3 linked regions of the Danio rerio genome follow. The protein of the gene in region 3 purifies or fractionates together with the protein of the main gene of each other region. This does not show direct contact. Links are inferred from orthologs where the notes say so. Each region holds a gene or a part of one and is shown on either strand. Other genes may lie near its edges.

Region 1 (2,155 bases), on a different chromosome or scaffold from region 3:
ATGCCAGACTCCTGAACGGCAGATCAGCACACAGCCGAGTCCACAGTAATGTGGTGAAGTCAACATGACAGAGTGTGGAGGATGATCAGCAGCACGATAATGAGCCAGTTTATCCCAAATCCCAACTCCTCTGTGTGTGTGTGTGTGTGTGTGTGTGTGTGTGTGTGTGTGTTTCTCCACAGGGCTCAGTCTGAGCACTCTACAGAGGCGGTGAAGCGCTATGACTGGACCTACACCACCGACTACAGGGGAACGCTGATCGGAGAACAGACACAGATGAAGGTGCGCTCTCACACTGCAACACACAGATATAGACTTTAAGGGTCCTCGCTTCTCCACACTGCAGCGCCTGAACACACAGAGCTGCAGACGCCACTGTGGAGGATCAATAACAGGTGTAATGGCATGCTCGTATGTAAGGTTCTGTTGGTGTGCGCGGGCCTCAGCTCTTGGTCTCTCTGTAACTGTGCTCGGGCTTTTTCATTCTTCAGCTCTCTCCAGCAGATATTCAGCAGAGTGTTTCCAGCAGATACTGTAGGGTTTTCATCACATATTAACATTAAAATCTTTTAATTATTTGTTTTGCCTTGAAACTGGGCTGAACATGTTGCATTTGCTGATGAAACGCATGCTGTGATCTGCTGCGGTCATGTTTAAGCTGCTAGACGGATCAGTGGATGCTTTCAGTCATTCTGGACACACTGATCTGATATCAGATTTGCTGGATCAGCATCTGCCATATAGGCTGATCCAAATCTGATATTGTGGAAATGTTCAAGCATATGAACATAACTATATCCCACTATCGCCTGTATATCGCACTGGTGGGAGGCTGTGTTGGCTCGAGGCCACAGGCTGAGTGTCTTAGTGTCCCACCAGTGGCGATATACAGCCATATGGCACTGCTACTCGTGTTATATTGCATTTATACAACAGTTTGACCGTATAATTGTGTGTATAAAACTGAAAATCAAACTCAGAGAGTCTAAAAACCCTTGTGTATGAGGAACTACTTTCTCTCGCCGTTCATTCACATCTGCAGCTGACGTCAGAACAGCAGAAGCCGCTGCTCATTCCCCATCATCACTGTAGAGCTGGTGTCTGAATGATTCTCCAGCGTAATGTCTACAGTGAAGACAGAACAGCTGATTCTGCTCACAGTTTAAGATGATAAGGCTGAACAGCAGGAAGTGTCATCAGTCTACAGCAGGGCTGTCAAACTCAATTCCTGGAGGGCCGCAGCCCTGCACAGTTTAGTTCCAACCCTGCTCCAACACACTTACCTGTAGGTTTCAAACCAGCCTGAAGGACTCCATTAGTTTGGTCAGGTGTGTTTAATTTGGGTTGGAACTAAACTGTGCAGGGCTGCGGCCCTTTTGGAACCGAGTTTGACACCTGTGCTGTACAGAGATCTCCCAGCGTTCCTCTGCTGCAGTCAGGAGATCACTATAGTGAACCCTGAAAAAGCCAAAGCAGAACAACACTAGCAGATCACTGCTGTGTCTGAGATGAGGAGAAACACTGAACACATGCGGGCATTTCTTCTGTCTCTCTGTTTACTGAACCAGTCTGCAGTAATGAAAACAGGAGACGCATCAGAAACAAGCAGATGGCCAACACAGAACACACACATTCCTGATGTCTGAGTGCCATCTCACACTCGACACTGCAGTTACTGTGGTATAAATACAGCACTGCAGCACAGCGAGAGAGATCCGCTCCGAGTGTCTCTGACCTGCTTAATCATGGAGTGATCAGCTGCAGTTTAACATTACGCTGGTTATTCCTCCTCTAAGTGCGCATTATACAGTCTCTGTCGCCATCTTGTGGATGGACAAAGTTGATGATCTTTGCTCTGCTCAGTATGGCAGGCTGATGGCCGCCGACGCGCTGTCTCTCAGAAATAATGAATATTTAAAAGTCAAAAGCTGTCCTCAATAATAACATGCGAGCTGCACTCTAAACCTCTCCATTCTCACCTAATTAAGCCTCGGCAGTGCACGATGATGGCCAGCGCTGCAGTATGAGTCCGACTGCAGTGAGTGTACTGATCTGCTGTCACTCTCTGTGGGCGGAGGAATACACGAGGGTGAAGAGGCTGGACCAGTGCTGTTACTGCGAATATCACACGGCTATCAGCCAATCAGATTCCAGA
Region 2 (3,500 bases), on a different chromosome or scaffold from region 3:
AAGAATGATGTTGAAATATGATTTTAAAATCTATATTCCTTATTTTTTTTTCAGCTAATTAAAGGAAGATTTCTGAAATTAACACAATTAATAAATCAGTTACCATGTCCTCTGAGGTCCATCGCTACAACTCTGCAGGTGATCCGGCTGCAAATAACAGACTGAAAATACAAAAATTGCACAATATTAGACACCAAAAACTAGCATCAATTGTAGGAGTGAAATAGTAATATTATTATATGGCTCTGAAAATTATGAAGAGACTACATTCAGATTATTGTTACTTTTCTGGATTTAAAACATGCGTTTGCGTTTTAATTTATAAAACATGAATAATGTGTCTACCAAATTTCAATAACAAAAGGTTAAATGTTTACAGACATTACATATTGAACACAGAAAATGACCTAGAAATATATCTTTCCCAGTATAAAATGCTTTAGATTTTGATGTTTTTTTAAGCATAGATTAACATTAATTTTATCACTTGATTCAACTCAAAACACGTTGCATATACAGTTGAAGTCAGAATTATTAAACCCCCTGAACTGATAGCCCCTTGTTTATTTTTTTCTTCATTTTCTGTTTAAAAGAGAGAAGATATTTTCAACACATTTCTAAACATAATAGTTTTAATAACTCATCTCTTAAAAACTGATTTATTTCATCTTTTATTTTTCAAGACAATTCTATACAGCTTAAAGTGACAATTAAAGGCTTAACTAGGTTAATTGGGTTAACTAGGCAGGTTAGGGTAATTAGGCAAGTTATTGTATAACGATGATTTGTTCTGTCAACTATCGAAAAAATATATCGCTTTAAGGGGCCAATAATTTTGACTTTAAAATGTTTAAAAAAATTAAAAACTGCTTTTTTTTAGCCAAAATAAAACAAATAAGACTTTCTCCAGAAGAAAAAAAACATTATCAGACATGCTGTGAAAATGTCCTTGCTCTGTTAAACATAATTTGGGAAATATTTAAAAAAGAAAAAATAAATTCAAAGGGAGGCTAATAATTCTGACTTCAACTGTACTTATATGCACATGCAAATAAACACCATGGCATCCTTTATTTAATAAAAAAGCAAAAACTGTATTTACTGTTATTATATTTTTATTACTCATATAATATTTTATTTATTTTATCTCCTGCAAAAAAAAAAAAACTGAATGTTTAGCATCATTACTTTGATCTTCAATGTCACTTGATCCTTTAGATGCCATTCAATTATCCTGATTATACTGAATCGCTGCTTCATAGTTTTGTGGAAACTAGCAGATTAATCACTTTTTGTTTTCTTTGCTCTCTCATTTGATGAACTTTTAATACATCATAGCTAAATAACATTTTAAAAAGTAAATAATAAAATGTTATAATCAAAAACAACTGATTTTAAAAAATGTAAACAACAATATACAGTGAAAGTCAAAATTATTAGCCCTCCTGTGAATTTTGTTTTCTTTTTCAAATATTACGCAAACACTGTTTCAAGAGTTTACACTTAGCTGATGATTGATTATAAGCAAGTTTGGCATGCTGTCCCGGGAGAGAGCCCTGAGCTCGAAGGTTCTTGAGCCCTGGGCTCCCTCCCGTTTGGAGGAAGAGAGGGGAGCCTCGAGCTCAGGTAGATCTCGACAACTCCCCTTTTTATAATAGCTAAAGATTAAGATTGAAGGCTATTAAAAGATATGCTGCATTATTAGATTACCTGTATTGAAATTTAGATTTAACGATTAACTTGTTGTACATGTTTTTGGAATGTGGGAGGAAACCGGAGAACCCGGGGAAAACCCACGCAAGCACGGGAAGAACATGCAAACTACACACAGAAACGACCACCGGCCTGTTAAGGAACTAGAACCGGTGACGTTCTTGCTGTGAGGCGACAGTGCTAGTCACTGAGCCACCGTGCTGCCCTATGGAGGGAAAGGTGAAAAGGTAGGGGTGGAAGGGGGGATTCTTCAAATCGAAGATAATTGTAGTGAGAAAACCCTGGCTCTTTATAGTGGTTAGGAATGGCCTGATTGGTGGATCAAGCATGCTAATGCAGAACCAGCCGTGTTCAATCATAATCACGTGCTCCTCTCGAAATTAGTTTATGAATAAACTTCACTTATCAGAGTAACATATAATTTACAGTTTGTCTGATAATATTTTTTCTTCTGGAGAAAGTCTAATTTGTTATATTTTGGCTAGAGTAAAAGCAGTTTTTAGTTTTTAAAAACCTTTTAAGGTCATTATTATTAGCCCCTTAAGCAATATATATTTTTTGATTGTCAACATAATTATACAATGATTTGTCTAATTACCCTGACCTGCCTAGTTAACTTAATTAACCTAGTTAAGCCTTTAAATGTCACTTTAAGCTGAAAACTAGTGTTTTGGAAAATATCAAGTAAAATATTATTTTCTGTCAACATGACAAAGATAAAATAAATCAGTTATAAGACATGATCTATTACAACTATTATGTTTAGAAAAGTGTTGAAAAAATTCTTACTATTAAACAGAAATTTTGGAAAAATATATGCAGGTAGGCTAATAATTCAGAAGGGCTAATATTTCTTACTTCAACTGTATATTATGCTTGTATTCATGTGTGGCTTTGAGAGATATATTAAACTCACAGTAAAGACGGCCCAGGACAGAGCAGAGTGACCTCCTCCATGCAGAAGCAGCAGGACGGGACCATGAGAGCCACTGCTGTAAATTCTGAATGTGTACACAGGAGTTAAAGGATGCTTCACAAAACAAGATGGAAACCTCTGAATAAAAAAATAGCATAATTGGCCAACAGTCTGCTCCACAGTAAAACAAAGGATATGTCTTTGCTGTTGTCATTTTCCACCTCCACCTCCACGTCCTCAATAGTTTCAAAGTAATGACTCCATGGAAGGGGAGAGAAATCTCGCTTTCTTCCTGGTCTGCATAAAAAAATCACGTCATTAACATCTGAGTGTTCTTGTGGATATTATATGTACTGTATATCCTTATATCGTTGCAGTTTAAATGTCTGACCAACTGGATATAAAGCACAACAAAATCGAAGAACAAATTGGAGAAGCAATTTTAAACAAAATATAGCCTACATGAAGATGACAAGTTGTTTTCAGGAGTTTGATACAACTTGACATTGCAATTTTTTTTTCTGAAGTATTTGCTTTAGCAGGTGAATAAACTTCTTACTCCCAATAGTCTGTGGTTATAATATAATAGGTAGATGTTGGCTTTACATTAACAACAGGGAATCTTTAAATTAAACCTTTTCCCATACAGTTTGTGTTAAACTGATTAATCTAACATTTTGCATCATGATGTAACTATCTTGGTCAAGTATTAGAGGTGTAACAACACTGTGATATTGACATCAATCAGCAGATCAACGAAACGCCTATTATTATGTATCGATGTTAAAATATTAACAACATAAACATTTTTAGAGACACCTTTATTTGGTCACATGTACAGTATATGAGATTTTAACGGTATGATAACCTT
Region 3 (4,025 bases):
CTACCTGTGCTTATTAAAAGAGACGTATTCAGTTATAAATAGTCTATTAATTTCAGTCAGGTTGTTGTTGTTGTTAAATCGTGGTAAGATGCCTATTTCCATGCTGTCTTGCAATATATTGTATTAACCCCCAGACAATAGGCTATAGTCTATGCACTGGAAACACTAACATTTTTAAAAGACACTATAAAGATGACCTAATATTAGCATGATGTTTTAGTTGGATGGTTACAAGTACATTTTGTAAAATTAAGAGCAAGAAACAGTCACGTGTTTAGACAGAAAGATGAGTGTTCAGTTATTATTTGCAAACACTTTTGGGTTTAATAGACGTCTAAAAGACATCTAAACGTAGGCAGCTTGGCTAAAACAAGACTAAACTTGGGCTGTCACTGAAAATCCAATACACGTGTAAGAATAGCCCAAAACTAGACTAGTCGTAAAATAGACAGACTCTATATGTGTAGTCTTTCATTTCTGTTTATTTGATGACTGGTCTAGTTTTGGCCTATATTCTTAAACGTCTATTCTATTTTCACTGACAGCCCAAATTTAGCCTTGTTTTAGCCGAGATGACTATTTTTGGACATCTATTAGACCTCTTTTAAAAACATAAAATGCTTGCTGGATGGGCTGATTATTTCAGTCAGGTTGTTTCAAATCCTTGCAGGATGCCTACTTCAATATCATTATGGGTGTACACTTAAATGACCATTCCACAGTTTGTATTATATTTATCTATTATTATTAATCAGTACAGTGCAATATAAATACCCCTCAGACAATTTATTTAGACATCAGCCCTGTAGTAGCCTAGGCTTTGTAGCTGAATGATTTGGCTAGGCTACGTTTTGTTTTAGTTACAATTCAGAGCCAGATTAGTCATTCTAATGTTTAATTAAATTTACAGACGAGAGTTCAGGTATAAATAGGTTAAATAATTCAAGTCACATAGAAGTGTTTCAAATCCTTGTAGGCTGCTAAACATTAACAGCACTTATGATCATACACTTAGCTCGAAATGTGACTATTCTGCTTTAAAATACCGCCTACACGAGACGTTCACTAGGTATTGCTGCACAGCAACAAAAACACTGTGTTCAACCACCCAGAAATGATGCCTAAATAGGAGGCTGACTAGGCTTTGGAACGCGGCCATGCTATTGCGCAACAGCCAGCGCTCCTGAAGAGCGGCCGGCAGTGACGTCGCAGTCGCCGCCATATTGAAATGTTTCCCATCTCCTCTTCTTCACTGAGCTCAACAGCAGCCATCAGCTCTCGCTTTCCAACAGGAGACAGGGAAAACAACACAGACATGGAGATAGACACTCTTCTGGAGGCTCTCAAAGGTACCCGGTCGCGTGTGTTGAGGCGGTCAGGGCGAGTTTAGGATGGAGTTATATGTGGTTATTGTCTGGTTAATGTGAGTTAGCTCATGCTAGCATGGCCTGTGGCTAAATGGCTTTTCCTGTTTTTCGAGGTCTGTTGTGTGTTAAGAGCAGATCAGCAGGTTTCATTCTTCTATTTTTACGACGACTTTAAATTTCTGTCAGAAAATGGAGGGTTGGATTATTAATACGTTAATAAAAAGGCTATTGTTGGAGTTTACTAGGTAGTGGACTGCTATGATGTAGAGTTGAATTAAGTATTCTAACCTTACACATCTGTGTGTTCAGTGTTAACTATAAACTTGTGAATGATTTTAACATTTTCTTTGTGAGTTTGTTCTTTCTTTAACGTGATTTTCTTTTTGTATTTAACGAGAAATCTTTCATTTAAGTTGCACTTTAGCTCTGCTCTTAGCCTAGTTTATTTAAAAAAATATCAATGAATAATTTCTCATTATTATTTATATGTTTTAATAATGATTTTTGTGAGTAGTACAAATTGTTTTGGTGACAAAATAATATAATACTACTATTTATTGTACCTGTATGAGCTTTATGTAAGTGTGTTTGGAATAGGATATTTTCTCATATTTCTAATGAAAGCTCACAATTGTCTGATCAAGGCCTATTTGATGTAAATGAGTGATTTGCCGTTCTTATATTTATTTTTTATATACGTATATTGTTTATTTTTTAGGGAAGTGGAAGTGGTTTTGATCACTAAATGATTATATATATATATATATATATATATATATATATATATATATATATATATATATATATATATATATTGTTCCAAATTGTTGAAAGGTAACGGCTAAAAGATATAACAAAGTTATGGAACTTGTAAATGAGTTTAAGATTACAAACGACATGTTTACATAACCTAGATGTTTATCATAGTTGCACTGCTTGCCTGTTAATAGATCTGTGCTTGGAAAATGATTCTATATTTTCATAAAGGTGTGCATAATATTATAGTTGTTTCTGGACGCTCAGAATAGAAAATTGTGTTTGGTTTTAATGCATGAAGATTATCTAGAAAGAGAGCCGCTTTGTAGTTGTGTGAAAATACGAACAAATAATTGAAAGAACAATAAACGACTATTTCCTCCTTATATTTGTGATGTCTGAACTAGAATGGAGTCAATCAGAACTAAAATATTATTGATAGACTGAAATGCATTAGCAGGATTTGGAGTTGCATGCACTCCAAAATAACTTTTGCTTTTGTCTCCTGCAGATTTTGACAAGAAGGTGAAGAAGGAAGCGTCTACAGTTTTGGACCAGTTTTTGTGCCATATTGCAAAGACTGGGGAAACCCTGTAAGTACATTCAAATATCTATGAGTGATCTAAGTGGGACACAGAAACCCTTTTCACCTTTGTCTTCTAGTGGTTTGTTAAAAATCATAACTGCTTTTTTAGGTAACACCAGAGGGTGGGTTGTTATATGACCTTTTGGTTTTGTTCCAAAACAAACTAAACCTTGTACTTATCGACTAGATCTGACTTGGCCGACCTGCTCTCATTTCATGAACTCTTTAGAATACATGAATGAAAATTAAAAAAATATTAATATCTATCTCTTTGTAATACTTCTGCTGTCAAATATATTTGCTCAATGACACTGAAATGTGTTATTAACAGTCGTGCTGGTTTTATGCCACTCACATCACCCTGGACTCTACTCACATTATGTAACAATTGCAACCAAATCATTTAAAGCCCATATAATAGTAAGTTATATAATAAACAGCTTTGTGACTGACAAATCTAAAAATAAACTGAGCTGTGAATGCTGTATATCTCTTCAGGGTGTCCTGGTCTCAATTTAAAACCTACTTCGTATTTAAACTGGAAAAAGTAATGGAGGATTTCCATGCATCGGCTCCAGAGCAACGAGGGCCTGCCAACCCTAACGTGGAGTCAATTCCCTTTGAAGAAATGAAGGAGCGAATCCTAAAGATTGTCAATGAATACAATGGGTAAGTTTGTTATTCTTGGCGAAACTGTGGGATTGTGTTGTGGCAATTTTAATGTCTATCATTCATTATCTGAAATTGATCGGCACAACATCTAATGTCCCGTTTCCACTGAGTGGTAAAGTACGGTACGGGTCACCTTTATCAGGTTTGGAATCCAACCACCTAAAGGGTAAAAATGGTCCTCTTTTGTTGGGCTTGGTGTACGACAGAAGGTTTGTCTACATCATTTTCGCTCGAGGACATTTCAAAGTAAAGCAGTACAGGTCATTCACATATCATATAAGAAGCACTTCTCACAAAACAGGTGCTTTATACACATAAATACTTGTGTATAAATGTTCAGTACTAACTTGTCTATGAACAAGATTTGATTATAACTGCAGATCAATGATGCAAAATAGTGCGAAATGGCTTACTGAAACATCTGCAATTTATATAAAATAAATAAATAAATGCAACATGTATGAACACATGTAGAAACTTATAGTTTCCGATATGTTACCGATTACAGAAGAACGACATCACATACATTTAGGCTTTATTTGAGTTTAAAAACAACATGCAACATCAGTGCAAACCTCTCATCTGTATCCTTAATCTTCACTTCATGTTCAAGCTCTTGTTAGAAAGTCATTCCATCATTCTGA

The links. Proteins that work in one complex are often made in the same cells at the same time.
Region 1: the proteins of ppp4r2b (region 3) and tiprl purify together in Homo sapiens (affinity purification with mass spectrometry; 5 studies listed by BioGRID and IntAct, counting the BioPlex papers as one, with this or other methods). This does not show direct contact. The link is inferred for Danio rerio from reciprocal best matches to the Homo sapiens genes PPP4R2 and TIPRL.
Region 2: the proteins of ppp4r2b (region 3) and ppme1 purify together in Homo sapiens (affinity purification with mass spectrometry; 3 studies listed by BioGRID and IntAct, counting the BioPlex papers as one, with this or other methods). This does not show direct contact. The link is inferred for Danio rerio from reciprocal best matches to the Homo sapiens genes PPP4R2 and PPME1.

Annotation. Positions count from the first base shown.
Region 1 is NC_133185.1:310,319-312,473, forward strand, and holds part of tiprl (TIP41-like protein), read left to right. Parts: intron 1-182; coding exon 183-282; intron 283-2,155. UniProt on the Homo sapiens protein: May be a allosteric regulator of serine/threonine-protein phosphatase 2A (PP2A). Isoform 1 inhibits catalytic activity of the PP2A(D) core complex in vitro. The PP2A(C):TIPRL complex does not show phosphatase activity.
Region 2 is NC_133196.1:26,828,252-26,831,751, forward strand, and holds part of ppme1 (protein phosphatase methylesterase 1), read right to left. Parts: intron 2,927-3,500; coding exon 2,827-2,926; intron 2,723-2,826; coding exon 2,630-2,722; intron 162-2,629; coding exon 104-161; intron 1-103. UniProt on the Homo sapiens protein: Demethylates proteins that have been reversibly carboxymethylated. Demethylates PPP2CB (in vitro) and PPP2CA. Binding to PPP2CA displaces the manganese ion and inactivates the enzyme.
Region 3 is NC_133181.1:46,718,841-46,722,865, forward strand, and holds the start of ppp4r2b (serine/threonine-protein phosphatase 4 regulatory subunit 2-B), read left to right. Parts: upstream 1-1,225; 5' UTR 1,226-1,315; coding exon 1,316-1,349; intron 1,350-2,634; coding exon 2,635-2,716; intron 2,717-3,207; coding exon 3,208-3,378; intron 3,379-4,025. UniProt on the Homo sapiens protein: Regulatory subunit of serine/threonine-protein phosphatase 4 (PP4). May regulate the activity of PPP4C at centrosomal microtubule organizing centers.